4 linked regions of the Xenopus tropicalis genome follow. The main gene of each other region encodes a partner of the protein of the gene in region 3 in a complex. Links are inferred from orthologs where the notes say so. Each region holds a gene or a part of one and is shown on either strand. Other genes may lie near its edges.

Region 1 (4,893 bases), on a different chromosome or scaffold from region 3:
AAACTAGGCTGCTAAAATACTTACGATGCAACTCAACAGAAAGTCTGTCTTTTGTATTTACACTCCCAGACTGGACCATCCTCCTAACTGTTGAGGCATATTCCTAAATGAATAAAAAAAAAAAAAAAAAAAAAAAATAGAAGATGAGGAAAGAACCTGATCCAGTGACAGCTGTTAGTTAGTATTTAAAAATTCCCCTAATTCTTTTTGTGTTCCACCACTTGGGAAAGTGGCGACAGTCTGTCTGATGACTTGGTGGCTTCTGATAAGGGGGTTCCCAGGTTTATTGCTGACTCAACACGAGAGATTTTTTCATCCTACAGACCTTTGTCAAGTGCACACATACACCACTCAAGAGAGCACAGATTTACTGTGTGCCATCCCTAAACTTTCCAATGCATTTAATGTGGCACTAATGAAGCCTATTGTCAAATTAAGAGTTTAAGAAAAGTAATTTTAATCACAATCATCATTAAAAGTACCATGCAATCATTTAGGAGGAGCAATGGAAGCAGCTCTACATAGGATTCCTTGCTCGGATAGGTGTCATACTCACCTGTGGGAGTCGCAGGATAAACTGGCTCTCTAGTTCGTGTGGGGCATCATCTTTGCTCCTTGATGTCTTTTGTTCTATGGAAGGAATATGTAAAACTCAGAAGTCAGTTGGCCTTGTAGGCAGTAGGACTCATATAGAGGAAGTGTTGAAAAGTAAAGAAATTAATATTTACCAGCTCTTTCACTTTTCTAGATAGCGCACATATATACAAGAAAATTATGTTTATTTTCCTGTTAATATGGTATGAAAGTATACAAGTGCATGTATTTCTGCACATTACATTGTCTCTATATGTTAAAGGATATATTACTAGTAATAAATTAAAAGACTAAGAAATAGAAATTTTTAAGAGATGGTGTGTTAGGCAACCCCAGTGAATACATTAGCTTAACCCGAGTGTAGAAATGTGCCAATCACCAGACTTAAGTTATAATAAACAAAAAAGTCTAAATATTGGTGAAAATCAAAGCTTTTATTGTAAAAATAAAAAAAAATAAAGTTTCATGGAACCTGCCCCTTTATCAAACAAAAAAGTAAATGACAACACATTTGTTAGTGTCTACCTAAAGCTCCCCTCTTAAAGGTACATGTTATGCAATGTGCTGCAATCCCATACAGTAGGTATACATTAAATAAGAATCATTGGTATTCCTAGTGTAATACAAAAATCAGCCAAAAATCAGTAGTGTAGTCTACTTTCACATATTATTAAATAAATGCATATAGATTATACTCTTATTTTAATCCCCTAGAGTGAAGAGTCTGTAACGTGTGTATCCAAAATTTCTTCCTTTTCTGGAGATACAAGAATCTGTTGTTCTCCTACAATGGGGAAGAAACTTTCTAAATATAATAAAAATTCTGTACCATTTTTGAAATAACTAAGTTACTCTTCATTGTCTCCCACTCAGCATCTACCTGTCTTTATTCTCTGGACGTAGAGAGGCAGGATTTTTGAGTGAGCTCTAATACATATTTTAGGCAAAAGGATCACCTACCCCCCCCCCCCCCCCCCAAATGCTGTACAAGACTTAACTGTCAATCAAAATCAGAATCCTAATAAGTGTATAAAGAGAGAGAATAAAGAGAGAGAGAATAAAGAGAGAATGAAGAGAGACAGATGCTGGGAGAGTAAATTGATTATTTCAGACACAGTACAGAAGTTTTTAATTGATTACATCTAGAGATCTTCTTATTTCAATATGATGCAGCCTGTATTAAAATGTAATTTTTGCAATAGGTGCCCTTTAAGCACTTCAAGGTTGTTTAATATAATACAGGATTTAATGTATACAGAAGGTATTCATTTGTATTTTTACTATAGTGTAAAGAAAAAAGTTAGCAGTCGCTTAAACAACATTTATATTACTTGTGGAAGTCATGGCCAATCTGTCAGGAGAAGTCAGTAGTAGGGGGCAAAGAAATCTGTGGGTGGAAAAAAAACCATGAGATTAAATCTTGCACTTGGCCAATCGTCCATAAATTCTAACGACAGACCATTGTTATGACTACAGTAGGTCCCCAGAACGTTTAAGCCTTTTTTTTTTCTTTTTAAAAGACTGGCTGCACACAGATATTTTAGTGAGCTTGTGAGTGGGAATCAGTTTTGACAATCTGCTCCACAAATTTTAGTTGTTAAAAGAGGAATTCTTACACGCAATTTCTCTATTACAACCAAAGCCATTAAAGGAGTGGCATACAGACCAGCTTTAAAGTACTACTACTGTACGACTGTAAGCTCTACGGGGCAGGGACCTCCATCCTCTTGTGTCTTTGACTCTTAAAGGAGAAGGAAATCCTAAGTCACTTGGGGTGCCAAAATGTTAGGCACCCCCAAGTGACTTAAATCGCTTACCTTGTACCCCAGGCTGGTGCCCGTTAGGGAGAACAGCACCAGCACGGGGTAGCAGCGAGTGCATCCTTCTCCCGCGTTGGCGCGCTTGCGCATGCGCAGTAGAGTGAAAAGCTGAACTGTAACAACAAAGTTGGCTTTTCACTCTAATGCGCATGCGCCGGCCAAGGGATTTCACCGCAGAAAAAACACGGAAGAAGGAAGCGCTCGCTACAGGTACCCCGGGCTGGTGCAGTGTTCTCCTAACAGGGGCACAAGGTAAGCTATTTAAGTCACTTGGGGGTGCCTAACATTTTGGCACCCCCAAGTGACTTAGCCTTTCCTTCTCCTTTAATTTATTGCAACTGTATCTTGTATTAATTTATATTTATTGTTAGACTTTGTATTTATCTTAATAAGCCCGTTTGTATTAATGTATTCTCCTGTACAGCGCTGCGTACATAAGTAGCGCTTTATAAATAAAGATATACATACATACATACTAGAATATGCAGAGCTGCACAATTATACAATACAGAAAAGTGTAAACAGGGAGAACAAACACTGCAATAAATAAGTATAAAAATACATAACTGTGTCACTGGTAAGAGAGACAGAAGGAAGGCGGTCTCTGCCCTGCAGAGCTTACAGTCTGAGTGCGGTGGGGACTAGTGTTGCAGTCCCTGGAAATGACTGCCACCTATAAAGCTAAAGCTTGCTTCTTGTAGCTATGCAGCGTTATAAGGAGCACTACAGTCTCTATAGCCCACACCGGCACTGAGTATAATAAACTAATTTGTTCTTCGAATTCCCATCTGTGGGTTAAGAACAACTCCCAGTAACCCCCGGCGAAGACTCGGCCCATCACCTCGACGAACTACAGGTATTCTACTTACCGGAGGAGACCCGCTGCTCTCTAATTCATTGTGAAGTTACACCTATGGGAAATTCCTAGCCCACAGAGCACCAGATACCGGAAGTATGTGGAATAGAGCCGGACTCCTTTGCCTTCTGATTGGTTCACACTGCCCAGGACTACGGTGTCCATTATAGGTCAATTATCTAAAAATCCAAGTGCGTCCTGCTTTCTCCCACCTCCAAAATCTCTGAATTGCGCCTCCCCCTTCTAGTATTAATTTTGCACTTGAATTTGGACAATGTATGTCCTGAAATGGACACCGTACTTGGAGTTCGCTAACCAATTGGGTACCCAGCCAAAGTCTCTCACAAATGATTGCAGAGAATACGGAAGCTCGAAATAGAAATGAGAGTAGCAAGTGATGCTATGTATGTGTTACCGATAGGGGTGGTAGGGTCAGTCCCCGGAGAGTGTGTACTGTGGAACGGGCGGCTCTGCTAAGCGGTGGGTTTCTCCCTGCACCCTGTAAGTGAGAGGAGTAAGTGCCGCTGTGCATGCTGGGAGCTAAGTGGCAGACATTAGGGTCTCATACGTGTTAATGTATGTATGTACAACTATATTTATAAAGCGCCACAAGGGTACTCAGCGCTGTACAGTCTTACAGAATACAAAATTACACACAGGGAGGACGAGTGATATATATATATATATATATATACATATATGTATTTATTTATTATAAGTGCCATGTGGTATGAGACACAGTAGGAAGGAGGTCCCTGCCCCATAGAGCTTACAATCTGAGTATTAATAAAATTGCCATTGGTAGCTTCTGCTTTATTATGGTTCATCAGCACTGTAAGTCTTATGGGCAGGAGCATTAGAATCCTGTAGTGTTAGAAATACTAACTATTGGGAGTGAGAGCAAGTACACTAGTCAGTTATCGCTCATTTATACCAGGAAGTGATACGTCTCCTTACTTATTAAAGTTACAATGGCATGCTGTCATGGTAGGAAGGGTGGCACCGTAAGCTTCTCCAGAGGGGACTTACAGAAACTTACTGTATTTATATATAAAGTTTGAATTTAAATGTTATATATAAAATGGAACTGTTCCTTCTGCAAAATGCTTTACTTATTTGTGGCACTGTATGGATATACTTACAGGCATACATGAATGTCAGCTCTTGGGATAAAATAAAAGCAGATATTCATATTTACCTAAAATCTAAAATAAGCCGTGCTATAAAATTCTTTTCCAATGCAGGGTAGACACATTGACAATAGTGTGTATTCACACTGACTTGCTGAAGCTTGATCGAAACATTATACTTGATTTATTTGGGCAGTGCCCATAATTGGAAGGAGAATTTGCTGCTGGAAACCCAGTGGTACTCGCTAGGAAAAAGTAACGATTTATGTTTGACAGGTTCATATGGAGACTACTGGAAACCGCTATGACTTCTACATTGGACTGGCTCTAGCTCTTTCCTCCAGCATTTTCATTGGGAGCAGCTTTATTCTGAAAAAGAAGGGTCTCCTCAAACTCTGCAGTCGAGGACAACTCAGGGCAGGTGAGAATTGCCAGGTACTCCACCATTGCCTTTATCACTGATTTTATATCTTATTTCCCCCTGCCTACAAGT
Region 2 (5,123 bases), on a different chromosome or scaffold from region 3:
GGGCATCAGGTAAAATCTTCTCCATTACCTGGGAATCATCCCTCTATGTATACACAGAGGTAAAAAATAAAATAAATAAATAAATGACAAAAACAAAAGAAAAATCAAACTGTGAAATCACAAAATGGTGAGGAGGGAGATCCTACCTCCTGTTCAGTAGGACAAAAAATAACAGTGGTGAGGAGGAAGTCACATGGTCTTATAGGTAAGGGCTAATTTTGATTGGCTTTGGTATATAGGTCCTACCTCCTAGCTATGGGGGCAATACTGCCCCTGCGTACTGACATGGAAGGGACGAAGAAGAAAGTAGGGTTGCCACCTGGCTGCTATTTTACCTGCCTGGCCGGTAAAAATTATGCTTGATCCCAATGTTATTAATATGAAAAAAAAGATAAAAATATCGGAAGCCCAGTATTTTTTCTCATAAAAGGTGGCAACCCTAAACGCAAGAAAAGTTTACAGATGAACACAGGGCAAAAGACCTGTGATATAGGCATATACTTAAGGAGTTAGCAGCTAGCCTGGGCAATAATTAAACCAAAAGGTGTTATTTAAACCCAAAACTCCCATCAAATTCTGTGTTTTGGCGTCCAGACAAGGTTGTATTTTTTGTGTGTGCGTACGTGCTTGCGTCAAGTGGACGGAGAAGGAGAAGGAGAGGGGGAGGTGCGGCACTTTTCTGTGTGAATAACAGTACCGCCGTCCCTGGAGCTGTGCGCTACGCACTAAGTCATCTATATTGATTAAAGTATCTTTCTAATGTGTGAAATGTTTTCACCTTCAATTACTTCTACTTTTGTTAGACATTATTTAAGGTAATGTTGAATAAGATTGCCTGTGACTTTTTTACCAGGACTCCTGGTGCTTTGCATGAAAAGGAAGGGGGTGGAGTTTTGGCCATTCTGTGTGTTCTCTCGCAGCAACTGGCTAATCATGTGAATTATACTCTCATCTCTCTCTCAGCCTCTCATCTTCGAAACAGCTAAAAAAGGAGCGAGTGAGAGATTTTGAGTACTTAACCCGGCTTTGTTATTTGTTTATTGTAGGCATGTGGCAGTATTACATACATTGATACTCTTAAATAAAAAAAAGTATCAGTCCTCTGCGTGATCACTAGGCGTTGCCGGGAAAATAACCCTGCGGAACACAGTGTATTAATTAATACGCTTCAATATGCTTATTCCTGCTGATACATCCTCATTTTCTCTGTTTTTGAACTTAATTATTGGGCGCCCAGACCATCGATCTCTAGCAGCCCAGTTTACAAAAATTATGCTTTCGAAATCTCTTGATATCGATTCCGCACTGCAGTCCTCCACAAGGGAGACCCGCAATGTGCCATACACGGCACAAGCCCTTTTTAACTATCATCTGGTTTCTGCAACCTCCAGGGGCAGCATAACCCTTACACAACATATGGCGACAAAGTTTCGGTTAGGGAAATATCTATAATTGTATATGAGTGCTAGATCGGGATACACTAAATATAAGATAATTCACTTTCATAAATACAACAAACAGTATTTTACATTTTAATTTTATTGCCAAGCGAGGGCCATATGCAAATTATGCTAAATAGAAGGGATGATGGGACTGCCAATTCCCGTCCACAGCTACATTTAAAATCGCGAGAAAAGGTGCAATTTTTGTTTAGGTCGGCGTATTGGGAGCCATGTTTTTCGGTTTTCTGCGCATATTCTGAGTTTTGGATTGTTCCCGTTAAATAAAGTGTGGGGGGGAAGAAGAATTTGCGCATGAGCGGAAAGAATGTGTGATGTAACGTCCGCCAACAGGGAGAGAGACAGCAGAACTTAAAGCGCAGAGATTGGTATGTGGACTCCGTGATTATATTGTCGCTTTATCAGGTTTTCCTTGCGAGAATCGGGACGTATGGGATTCCCGGGTATCTCACTTTGGTGTCCCTACTCTCCCGGCAAAGCAGTGCAGCAAGTGCTAGTGCGCAGCAGGTTGTACGTAACGTACCGTGCCAATCATCTCACTCATGTGTGAGACTCACACACGGTATTATGTATTTAGGTATATTGGAACATATATACATACACACAGGAGGGTTACAATTTCAACTTGTTAGAATCCAGTTCGTTGCAACTTTCAGATATACGTTAAACAATTTCAGTGGTGTATAAATCGCTTTCAGACTGGCTCGCTGGTTATATGTATGTATGTATGTATAACTTTATTTATTAAGCGCCACAAGGGTATGCAGCGCTGTACAGTCTTACAGAATACACAATTACACACAGGGAGGACAAGTGATATAATAAATAAATACAATAAATACATATATGTATATATATATATATAAGTGCCATGTGGTATGAGACACAGTAGGAAGGAGATCCCTACCCCATAGAGCTTACAATCTAAGTGGTTGGGTAACATACAGGCACAAACTGGAAGGTAAGAGTGCACCAGGTATGGGCATCTTCTGTTCACTGGTGCGGAATCCTGAAACAATGTATTAGAAGTTAGTTGAACTGAAATGGGACTTGCTGGCTACATTGTTTCAGGAGTCTCTTCTGTTCTGAATATTTTTTTTCCTGCATTGCTTTAATGTGTAATGGGGATAGGTTACACTACATATAGCAAAAGGCAGAAATCGGTAACAAAAACAATATGCCAGTTGTTTGGTTTTTCCTTAAAGGAGACATATCCTATAAAAATGATGAATGTTCCAGTGAATTATACTCCTCTAGATATAGAAGGATTGTGCTTAAAAATGTTGTGTTTCAGACTGATTTATTGAGAAATTCCACCAAAACCCCACTAGTCCCGCCCATCTGTTCCACTTCCTGCTGGCTGAATTCTCTGGATGAGCTGGGGAGCCGCCCTCAGTACCCTGCACTGTAGGACAGGAACCAATCAGCAGCTAGGCTGACCTGATAGGGAACTGAAGCCTGTCTGTGCTTGTGTGAGGGCAGGGCTGTGATTGGCTCTCCCCCTCCTACTGTGCTTCTGGCAGGGACTGTTAGGACACGCCCACTCTCCATTTCACACTGGACAGAGAAGTGATAGGATCTATAGGGAGCTCCAATAAAGGGGCCATTGTTACAGATAGGGTTAATGTTTAGCCCAAAGGGAAACCAGCACCGTATATTATTCATAATTGCCTACAAAATAAGTGTTTTTCCCCATTTATCCAATATGTCTCCTTTAAAATTTTTGTATAATAACATACCGGTTAGGAGCATTGTCTTGCCTATAAAATTACATCAATATTACACTCTCTAAATAGATGAGAAGAAAGTAAGCTTACCTTGGATCATTTTTGAGTTATAGCTAGTAACTTGGTGAAATGTCATCGTTACTAACCCAGTCCACCTCAGTCTGTGATATATACTAATAACCTTATACAATGTGCCCAACTGATGCTGTTATTGTCTGCAGAAGGCCGGTGATGATGACGTGTGTGCTCAGCGGTTCCACCGCCGTGTGCGATGTCATTACAGAGCTAGATACTCAACTGGCTGTAAGTAAATAGTGTGTTAGCATGAGCCACTGTATAGTGATACAAAGTATCTCTGTACCATACAGCCTTATTAACCAACTTCTGCGCCGTTCATTAATGTGTGTGTGTGTACAGTACTGTATGTGCTGGTATTTAATGTATTCCCAATGAAAATCTATTCACTGGGACTCAATTAACACTGTAAATATTGAAGCTAACAGCTAAAAAATTGCTATGAGCTATTGTATTGAGGCAAATTTACAAAGTGTTGGTAAATATGCCCCTATGCCCTTTATGGTGTTTCTTCCTGACTATACTTTGCATTGGATAGTCAGGCAGAGTAGGTAAATAATAGGACTAGGTTACAGGGTCAGACTGGCTCACCATGCTACTGGAAAAAAAAAACAGTGGGCCCCCCAACCCTGTTGGGCCCTGCCACCTGAACGCCATCTTTTATTTTTTCACAGCAAGTAAGCAGCAGAGTGGGCCACTGCTTACTTGCTGTGAAAAAATAAACTTGGCGGTGTGCGTTCTAAAGTTGAGCCTATAACAGTAAGTAAGTAAAGCAGGAGTAGCTGTGGGCGAAGCAGCTGTGGGCTCCTGAGTTGGTTACCCAGTGGGCCCAGGGTTACCCAATCCAACACAGGTGTGCTTTATAGGTAGCAAAAGAGCAACAAGCTACCTAATAATTGCTTTCTACACTGGATATGACAGGTTTTTGCTTAGGGTTGTCAGTATGTTTTTATTTAGCAGACCGATTACTTTATTTGCAATAGCGGAAAAGTGAAAATAAAGCCCACATTCTTAAAGGAATAATGTCATGGGAAAACATGTTTTTTTAAAAAGCATCAGTTAATAGAGCTTCTTGAAAAGAATCCTGTATTGAAATCTGTTTTTCAGAAACCCAAACACATTTTTGTTTATATTTACATTTGAAATTTCACATGGGGCTAGCCATATTCTTCATTTCCCAGGGTGCCACAGCCATGTGACCAGTGCTCTGATAAACCTCAGTCACACTTTACTGCTGCTCTGCAAGTTGGAGTGATATCACCCCCCTCCCACCAGCAGCTGATCAGAAGAACAATGGGAAGGTAGCAAGATATCAGCTCCCAATAGATATCAGGATAGCGCTGGCTTGGGACTCCTACAGTTACATGGGAGTAGGAGAAACAATAGGTTACCTGAAAGCAGTTCTAATGTGTAGCGCTGGCTCCTTCTGAAAGCTCAGACTCGGGCACAATACACAGAGATGGCACCTACACACCAATATTAGAATTTAAAAAAATACATTTGTTGGTTCAAGAATAAAATGTTAATGGTAGAGTCAATTATTATATGTAAACAGTGTACTTTAGAAATAAAAATGAAACCATAAAAATCATGACAGAATCCCTTTAAGGTGGCAGATATGTCCAATTAATGCAATGGTAAATGCTCCACAAAGACTGATATAATTGGTTATTGGAACATTAGACTATAGTGCACCATAAAGTAAAAGCTTGGTCACATTAGGTATATTGGTTTGAGTTCAATCAGATACATGTGCTCAGATTGGTTCACCTCTCTATTTAGGGCAGGGGTAAACAGGGAGATTAGTCGCGCATCGAGTTGTTGTCGCGGCCTTATCTCCTCACAATGCCCGAAGTTACCT
Region 3 (4,415 bases):
TCTGCTAGAGATTGCTCATTCAACAGAAGTCTATGAAGGAGAACTCGCAGTGGAATTAAATAAGAAGGGGAAAAAATGATACTGCAGAGGGAAAAATGTTGAAGTATTTACCACTGCTTGGAAAATGTGAAACAATGGAGACTTGGCAATCCCAGGCTGTTTTTATTGCTGTGCTAATGGGCCTCCAAATGATTTTACAGTGTGGAAGTAGGTGGTTTATTGCTAAAAAAAAAAAAAAAAAATAAACCTTAAACAGCTGCATGGTTGGGTTAAAGACTGAATATAGAGAATATAGAGTGCAGAAATGCACAGCAATGGCCTTTTACCCAGTTTTTACATCCGTATTTAGGGACATCATAAATTATACATCTTCATCAGAAAAGGAATTGAGAATTACAGAAATTTATGAGTTTTACATTTTTTATTGGGGTTTATAAGCAGAGGAAAAAAAATAATAGCTACAATACAATTAAACTTACAACAAACAAAGTAAAGAAAAACAATAAAAAAGTGGTGATTCTTATTTTATCTACTGTTAAACAGTTACACATGACCCTTTGTATTTGTCAAAGTTATTTTTTTCCAGTTTAGTCTCCCCAAGATGCTAGATAGGTTTGGTTTTCCTCTTAACTTGGGAAGCAGTTTCAGGGGCACAGTAAAATATTTTGTATTTTGGCTTGTAGCGGTAGTTCCTGTAGCTGTGTGCATGTGGGTTACCACTTAGTGGCGTACTGGTCAAAGCCCAGATTCGGTAAAGGCAGCTCTGGGAGGAATAAGGAATTGTATTAAATATCCAGTTTCAGCTTTAAATTGTTCGATAAAATGGTACAATAAGAAACAGGCCACAACAGTAAGAAGTAGGTGATTTTTAGACTGTTAAAAGAAGCAGCAGGAGTTATTAATGAGGCGCAGTACAAAAGCCAAACACCACAGGAATTTAAATCTAATTACTGCATATAAATAACCAGTGTCTGATAAGAGGTTGTATACTTTCCTCTTTGACATCTGGCCTTAGTTATGCAGTATTTATTTTGCAATGGAGTATGAGTCTTAATATTCTTTAGTGCGTAACATAAATAAGGAAATTTTCATTTCCAAGGCTTAAATGATTACTTGGCACTGCCCATTTTTGACAGATCTTAAGAATAACTGAAACTGGACCCATAGCTTCAGTTAAGTTAAACTTGGATGGCTTGTTAAGGCAGGATTCTTTTATAGAGACTTGTGGCGTTCTATTCAGAATGCATGTCGTCTCTGACCAAGCTTTACATAGTGCAAAACCCTAAAGGTGGCCATACATGGGTGGATTTAAGCAGACCATTCAGGTCCTTTAGGCCTGATATCGATCTGGTGGGTTTCATTTTCCTATCCGATCAAGAACTGCGTTGGCTCATTGATGCAGTCCTCCACCAAGGCCCTTTGTGATCTGTTTATTTAGCTTGCAGGGCTTTATGGTTTTAATCACAGTTCATGGGCATCTTGTAGTTCTTTGCACAGGTATGGGATCTATTCTCTAAAATATCTGGGATCTGGGGTTTTCCAGCTAAGAATTGTTTTATGTAATTTGGATGATCATAAGTCTGATAAATAAAAATAGATAAACCCAGAGGGTTGTTTTGCAGCCAATATGGGTTTATGTAGCTTAGTTCGTATCATGTACAAGGTAGTGTTTTATTATTACAGAGAAAATGTCAATCATTTTTTAAAAATGTAAAATATTTGCCAGATGGACACAGTGGGAGAAGGTCTTCCCATATTTTGGAGTTTACTTTGATATCAGTTTTTTGGCTAAGTGATTCCATAGCTATTCCATGGATAGTGGGAAGCCACCCACGTTGATTTTTGGAATATGGTAATCTTCAGGGAGAAAAACTGATTAAATATGTATAATGCAGGAGACTGAGTATCTTGCCCTAGACAAATTGGGTGCCTGGGTGAAAAAACTAACAATTGATTGGTTGCTGAGGTGCAAAAACCCCAGTGTTCATAAATGAACCCTTGTGTGAAAGAATCATAGCATTAAAGAACAAGGAAACCCTAGTTCACTTGGGGATATCAATACCCCCCCCCTCCCTTGTGGACCCCCCAAAACCAACCCGACCTGTCACTTCATTATTTATATACATGTGCTCAATACTTCAATCTCCAATATAACTGGAGGGGTTGGGCTGGCACAAGTATATAAATAAGCAACGGCCATCCAAATGAGGGGAAATCAAAGTAAGCTGTACGAGCAGTGTGAAGCCAAAAACAAAATTTGACCACCACCTGCCTGCAAAATTCTCATATATATTAAAATCTATTTAAATGATAAAAACAAAAGCATAATAACTTTTCACTCTTCATTTGTCTCTTTTCCAAGGACCATTCAGCAGCCATGCCTTTGGTGGAGCAGGACTTTCTTTGAACTAAAAGCAGCACTAAAGCTAAAAGTAGATATGTGCCCTTTAGCTGCTAGAACAAACATGTTTTTCACACCGTTTAGTCCATTTTTAAGCAGTGTGTATAGCAGGACTTATTCTGCTCTTGGAGGCTTTCAGTGCTGTCCTATACCAACAAATGAATTTGACTCTTCCTTGTTACTAAAGGTGTAACTTATTTCTCTCCATTTTCATAAAATAATTCAAAATTCAACATATTTCCTTTTTCTCTGTAATAATAAAGATATAATTAATCCTTATTAGAAGCAAAACAATCCTATTGGGTTTATTTATTTAATATTTGAATAATTTTTTGCATAACAGGCCTCATACCTGTACATATTAATTAACTTACTGTTTCTTAAAAACTTGCCGGTAATGGGAATTGTAACCAGTCTGGTAAAGACAGGATATCTAATCATCTGGCATTATACATATAAACGTAATTGTTGTAGGAATCTATGAAAACTGGATGTACATTGACGCAAACGTATACATTTAATGTTTTTTTTTTTCTCTTTAAAGTGTTATCAGCAAAGTCGTATCTGCTCCAGAGTCTAAAGCAGCCCCTCCACCATCGTTGCCCAAATCTCCACCTCCAACACCTTCTCCAGCTCCAGCACCTATTCTTGTTGTCCCCCCTCAAGCTCCACCAGCTCCAGCAGCTGCATCACCAGCTCCAACTCCAGCCCCTTCTGCACTCACTTCAAATGCTGGTTCCTCTAAAACCCCTGTCCGAAGTGTTGTGACAGAAACAGTCAGTACCTATGTGGTGAGTACTCACCTTTTTGTTTTTCTTTTACATGCCTGTAGTATAAGGTACACATAATAAGCTGTAACCCTTTAATTGGATCAGTTTGGTATTCACAGCCATAGTTTCATAAATTACATGGTTAGGTGAAGGGGTTTTTCTCAGTCTCTTGAACAACTACAGACAGTTTAAACAATTTTGATATTAATGCTTTTGATATTTTATCCTTACATGAACCCCTATGTATATGAGTAATCGCATTACTTCCTGGATCAATAACCTTGGGTTCGATCAAAATCCCACCTAACTTATTGAGACTGTTCAGCTATAGGCATATATTGATATTGCCTTTTAATACATTTTTATATTCCCAACCTACTCGGATTTCCTTGAATGACATCCTTAATTTAATAAAACCAAGTTCACAGAGCTTACCATTCAAGTGAATAGCAAGTGATCAGGGAGTAGGTAGTGGAGTTGTATTAACCACCCCATGTGGTATAGCCTTTATAAAGTCCTTTGAAAACACAGGAAAAGAATATGATGACTTCATTGACTTTATTCTAAAGACCCCCTTCATTTGCCGGTGGTTATATATGACCCATGGCTGTTTAATGTACAGTATAACATTTATCAGAAAAATGTTAAATGGTTTGGACCCCCTGCTGCTTTACTCAGAGAATTTCCTTGTAATATTTCTGTGTGTTTTTTTTTTTAAGCAACGATGTTAGTAGTTCATGAACTTTTGAGTTTCAAAATTGCTGCTTTTCCTGTTAAATTTCACTTATCCTTTAATTCAAATTGTTAGATGTCATAAAGTAAACGGAAAGTTACTGAGTAACAACTTTTTATATCCCTGATCTTATCAGCAAATTGAATAGAACCATTTGGCTAATAAGTAAAAATGCTAATAAGGAACAGTTTCCTATAGTGCCAGCACAAAGCATACTTATCTTGTTCTCTGCTTGTAATGCCGAACTATAAAGTAGGAATGCAACGATTTGTACATGTACAGAACAATCCTGAATTAATATATTTACTTTGCTAAAGAGCTGTGAGATCTAAACATAAGTTAAATTAAAGGATCGCTTCCAAGCCTCAAAATTCTTAGTTCAGTTAAGGGCTGTGGCATACGGGGAGATTAGTCACCGGGCGACTAATCTCCCTGACATGCCATCCCACTGGCTAAAATGTAAATCGCTGGTGGGGTGGCATACGCAGCACAGCAAATCACTTTGGTGATT
Region 4 (5,096 bases), on a different chromosome or scaffold from region 3:
GGACTCTGTATGTGCTACTTCAGTTGTTACGATTACCCTGACCATCCTGTCTCTGTGCAAGTTATTTTGTCCTTGTTGATCTCAGCAAATGCTCAAGGCTAACAAACCAAAATAAGCTTCAGCAGCTACTTTAATGAGTTCCTGTTTTCTGCTAATAACTGCAAGGCATATGTGCCCACCCATGTTACGTAAGCATAATGGAATATCTTTATCTACATGTATATAATCTGCGGCAAAACCATCAATAAACTAGATTTGTTAGGAGATTCACTACTTGTCTGTGTCTCTCTGTGCAAGTTCCCGGATCCGTATCACATGACAGTGTACCAACAAGAGAGTCCAGAGTCCCAATAATTGGTAAAACCCTAACAGTCGCCCCCGCGTCTATTTTTTGTCGCCCACGCTTTTTTACGCGACCATGGGCAATTTTGATGCGCCTGCTCCCTTTTTTGTTGTAACAATGCCCAATTTGACGCACAAAAAAAAATTCTGCGCAACAAATTTTTCTGCAGTGAATTTTCACGGAAGTTTTGCAAAACAATTTGCCAATTGCCAAATTCGCTGGGAATCCACGTCTAGCGAAAACATTTGTTCATCACTAATCAGTATACATATGTGTATCATACACAACAAAAATGCATTTCAACCAATTTTTCTTTGGTTTATAACAGAGCAATGCTGGGATTGTATATAGTCTATCAAATAAGAGAATGTCTATGTATTTCAGAGAGCTATTATATGCCACACTAGTGCAAGAAGGACTTGAGGATTGAGTTATAGTTGAACCCAACCATGATGCTGGATACAGCTGTGCTCAGCATGATGTTTGGGTTAAAATGTAACTCACTAGAGTTATTGTATCTAGATTCTGCATGTCATTTATAATGGAGGGTGTATGCTGCTACTGAAAAATACCCTACAGCGAATGCAGGGACTTATACTGTGGCAAACTGGGTCAATATAGAAGGCTGTCATGGTAACCTGCTAATAGTCTCACAGTGTTTTTCAGCTGACTTGTTGCTAATATGTGTTATATACCAACATCACTATTGTCACAAGCAATATGTAGTTAAAACCATATCTATTTCATATCCATGTAGAAAAGTTTAAAAAGTACTTCACATGAAAAGGCCCTCACCAGTTGTTTGCTATTAGTACCATTCATGCACGATAAATAAATTTCTGCTCACTGCATGATAAACATTTTATTTACAGCACAAATTATTTACAGCAATTTTCCACTTCTGCTTTCGTGGGTTAAGTAAAGTGCTTTTGTAACTTTCCTATGATCCCTGTAATTATAACAAGCCAGCCGAAAGACGTCCTTAGACTAACGTTAAAAAATGGTCTGACAACCAAACACGTTAGTTCGTGAGGCATTTGTAAGCTGAGGGGATCTTATAACCTTATAATACATGTTCGCAAAAGTGTCCACATGAGGCTTAAGGGTAGATGACTTTTGACATGTATTTAGATGATTTAGGCGCCCCTTAGATACTTACGATGTAATATTTGTAGAATTTGTGTGCGCAACTGAGGTTTTAGGTATGTTATAGACGACAGGAAGCGAAGCTCCTGGCGATTGTATTGATCGGCGATGTCACGTGATCGGCGATTACGTTTAACGTTAATGCGTACGCGACGACGTCGCATACGCATGAAGACAGAAAGGAAAGCGCAGGGCAACAATCGCCGTGCCTTCGGATTGGATGACTCCTTTTGTTATTTTTTTTCTTTTTAATGGCGATATTTACATGGTAGCGCTGAAAAGAAAAGGGAAGATGGCTGCCCTGTGGAACTTTATTTGATACGCTCGTAATGGTAATGCGAGTAAACGTTTGAAATGTTTTTATACCAGTTTAGGGGCTTTTTACAATAAAGACACTGTGGCGGATTTATTTTAAGTTTAATGGGTGGATATGTTAAATGTATAAACATACAATAAACTGTCTGATGATGTATTAACTAGTAGAGCCTTCAGAATTATGTTATTAATTTAGAGCTTCAGAGATCGGCATGGAATATGGCTTAAATACGTCACATATGTGCCACCAAACAAGTAAAAATGACCAAAAACCACACAAGTAATTCCATTCCCCTATCTTCTGCCATTTGTCTCCTCTCTGGCTCGCCGAAGGCACATTCTAATGCAACAAATCTCCATGCAAAAGTCAAGTAGCTAGTCACTAGTGGGCAGATCTAGATGGGGGGCTGCTTCAGTGTCACGAACATTTGGTCCATTTCTCTGCTGCACTGTCTAGTTTGCCTCCTCTGCCAGTGCTGCATGGAAATAACAAGCACAATGTTCCTACGAATTTTTTTGGGGGGAATGTCCCTTAAGCTTTCTATGTGACCTTTCACTGCTACATTACATGGAACGTATGATATATGCAATTTGCAAACAATGCCAATTGGATATTGTACTTATCTGCTTTAATTTAGGATTTTTCCATTTCCCCTAAAATGGATAGGGGAGCTATGATAGCTTTACTATCTCATTCCCTGTTGTATGATCTCAGTCCACGTTGTCTTTAATAAAGTTTCTATTTATTTTTTAAATGCAGCATGCAGAGGCTCTACTTTGTTTGGAATTTAGGATTGGTTCATCTCTTCTGGCTTGGGTACAAAGGAACACTTTATAATATCTTGTTTACTATCTGTACTGCAATTAAATTTTGCATAATAAAACTGAAAACATTCAGATACCAGTTAGATTTCAGTGTATGTAAGTATGTATATAGGTATGGGAAACCTTATCTGGAAAGTTATGTAGTCAGCACCAAATTACGTACTTGATCCCAGCTAAGATATCCTTATTGGAGGTAAAACAAACCTATTGGGTTTATTTCATGTCTAAATTATTTTTTAGTAAGCTTAAGGTATAGCGGTCCAAATTAAGCAAAGACCCCTTGTCCATAAAACACCAGACCGAGCATTCTGGATAACAGGTTCCATAGCTGTAATTAAAAAAACATATGATCTTTCTCTATAATAAAAACTTGTACTAGACCGTTACTTGTATACATAACTAAGCTACATAAATCCATATTTATGGAAAACAATGGAAGTATGCAGTCTTAGGAGTATAGTTGTACAGCTCTGAGGCAGGGAGCCAAGTCTAGACCAAACTCTGTGAGTCCCATTCAGGAGGCCCTGGGATATGATATGTAGTCATAAAGTATCATAATGTATGTCACTCAACTTTGCTTATTCACATGTGAAGTATGACAATGGTAATGTCTTGGAAGGTCTCAGTTGCTGCAGAAAGAGGCAGTTCACTAACTCAAGCAACCAAAAAAATTTGTTGTGTGAGGTTAAAATTTTCTAAACCTTAAAAATATGACCAATAGCAAATTAGCTCGGAATGTTGCTTAAGTCATACTAAAAGTTAATATAAACTGCTTTAATGGAGAAGGCAAGTGCTCCCTTTGGATCAAGATGGTGGTCCTGCGGTTCTTGTGTGCAAAAGGGTATGCCCGTTTGTAACAAATGTTCTTGTGTTGTGTATTTTATAGGAGTTACTGATCAGTAAAGAAAGCTGTTCCTTTAATCATCCCATTTTTGATTTAAGGCCCCTGGTTGTCTTCAGCCATACCTTTCAATGTATGCCAATTGTACTGGTTTATGCTTTTGCTGTTATTAATGGAGTTTTGACTATGCCAATGTAACCTTGCAAAATCTGTATTATACTCCCAAACTTTGTGCTATTAAATATTTTTGCTTAGTTTGGTATAACATATCTAATATTTATTGAAATGTGTTTAAACTAAAATATTCAATGGCCCAGTTTTATATATAATATTTTTTTGTTGCACTTTACACCAACTTTTCTATTTCCAAGTTTTCTATTGTATTGAAATGTTACTCCCATTCTCCAAGCACAATCACATCAAGAACGTTTGTGTGGGGGCAACAATAATAAAAAAGGGCATATGTATTTTTTACATTAACAAGCTTATCTGTCAGTAAATTTACATTTTCTGTCCACCTCTTTCTGCATGGAGTTGGGCTGTTAGTTGGTATTTTTCAGGTCTTTCTCTGGCCTGTTTGTAGGTCTCAGCTGGCTGCTAACATTTTGTGTGTTTGAGGTGTTTTAGAACATGTCATTAACATGTCATTTTTGTCTCTAATTTACTTAGGTACAAAGGGAAAAGTTTTTGTTCCAGCTCTTTTAGAAATCAAGCTGCAGTCAAAAAGACTGTCTCCTGTACTGAGGTGCTAGAAGTTGTATATAATACAGAAACGCTTTTTATGTTTCCTACAATTGTAAGTGCAATTTGTGTTTAATAAAGTTTGTTATTTTAAATACTGCACGTGCAGGCGCTACTTAATGTTTGTAATTTAGGATTTTTTAATCTCTTTTACCATGGGTAACCAAGGAACACTGTATAATGATTTTATCTCCTATCTGTGCTGCAAATAATTTTTGCATAATAAAATCTCAAAATATTTAGCTACCAGTTAAATTTCATTGTATGTTGTTATGCCAGCAGAAAGCCCCCCAGTTATGGAAAGGCCATCTCCCATTTTAAGCCAATAATTTTATTTTTTTATATCTGATTTTTCTTTGTTATAATATAACGGTAATGTGTACTGTCTACAGGCTACGGCATTGAAGTATCCTGGGATTTAGAAGAAGGGAATAATTGTGCAAAAATTATATGCATTTTTATATACCGGTACATCTACAGTAGGGTTGTATAAGCGGGTCAAGCCCTGATAACAGCCTATGATGCAGTAATATTCTAGTCTCCTGTTAAGAGAAAGGGAACCCTAGGACTTTAGGTAGAAAGATGCCTGTATCTTCTTTTACTGCCAACTAAGTAGCTACAAACACACAAGGCAAAGAATCTCTGTTTGTGCACAGATTCAAGATGCTAAAACTTAGATAAAGACATATTGGGAAACTTCAAGAATTTCTTTTGTGTTTCTTATTACTTGGGCTTTTAGATTGGTTCAAACCATTGCTTCAGTAAATTTTGCAGTTTGAATAAAATTAGCATGGAATAATTTAGAAAAAGGCTTTTTGTGGTTTTTTTTATGCATTTATAAGGGCTCATTATGGAATAATAAGCCCTCAAGTTTCTCACTCTAAT

What was found. The genes of interacting proteins can lie anywhere in the genome.
Region 1: taf3 (region 3) and taf7 share a complex: the UniProt entries of both Homo sapiens proteins name them as parts of the TFIID basal transcription factor complex. The link is inferred for Xenopus tropicalis from reciprocal best matches to the Homo sapiens genes TAF3 and TAF7.
Region 2: taf3 (region 3) and taf12 share a complex: the UniProt entries of both Homo sapiens proteins name them as parts of the TFIID basal transcription factor complex. The link is inferred for Xenopus tropicalis from reciprocal best matches to the Homo sapiens genes TAF3 and TAF12.
Region 4: taf3 (region 3) and taf8 share a complex: the UniProt entries of both Homo sapiens proteins name them as parts of the TFIID basal transcription factor complex. The link is inferred for Xenopus tropicalis from reciprocal best matches to the Homo sapiens genes TAF3 and TAF8.

The regions. Positions count from the first base shown.
Region 1 is NC_030684.2:37,692,071-37,696,963, reverse strand, and holds the start of taf7 (transcription initiation factor TFIID subunit 7-like), read right to left. Parts: upstream 3,319-4,893; 5' UTR 3,284-3,318; intron 1,982-3,283; 5' UTR 1,939-1,981; coding exon 1,926-1,938; intron 631-1,925; coding exon 557-630; intron 104-556; coding exon 25-103; intron 1-24. Other genes in the region: MGC108429 protein, read left to right, coding at 4,683-4,821. UniProt on the Homo sapiens protein: The TFIID basal transcription factor complex plays a major role in the initiation of RNA polymerase II (Pol II)-dependent transcription.
Region 2 is NC_030678.2:78,449,989-78,455,111, reverse strand, and holds the start of taf12 (transcription initiation factor TFIID subunit 12), read left to right. Parts: upstream 1-1,805; 5' UTR 1,806-1,828; intron 1,829-3,408; exon of another isoform or gene 3,409-3,418; coding exon of another isoform or gene 3,419-3,490; intron 3,491-5,123. UniProt on the Homo sapiens protein: The TFIID basal transcription factor complex plays a major role in the initiation of RNA polymerase II (Pol II)-dependent transcription.
Region 3 is NC_030679.2:83,687,819-83,692,233, reverse strand, and holds part of taf3 (transcription initiation factor TFIID subunit 3), read left to right. Parts: intron 1-2,945; coding exon 2,946-3,192; intron 3,193-4,415. UniProt on the Homo sapiens protein: The TFIID basal transcription factor complex plays a major role in the initiation of RNA polymerase II (Pol II)-dependent transcription.
Region 4 is NC_030678.2:70,731,406-70,736,501, reverse strand, and holds the start of taf8 (transcription initiation factor TFIID subunit 8), read left to right. Parts: upstream 1-1,778; 5' UTR 1,779-1,821; intron 1,822-4,139; 5' UTR 4,140-4,251; coding exon of another isoform or gene 4,252-4,266; intron 4,267-5,096. UniProt on the Homo sapiens protein: The TFIID basal transcription factor complex plays a major role in the initiation of RNA polymerase II (Pol II)-dependent transcription.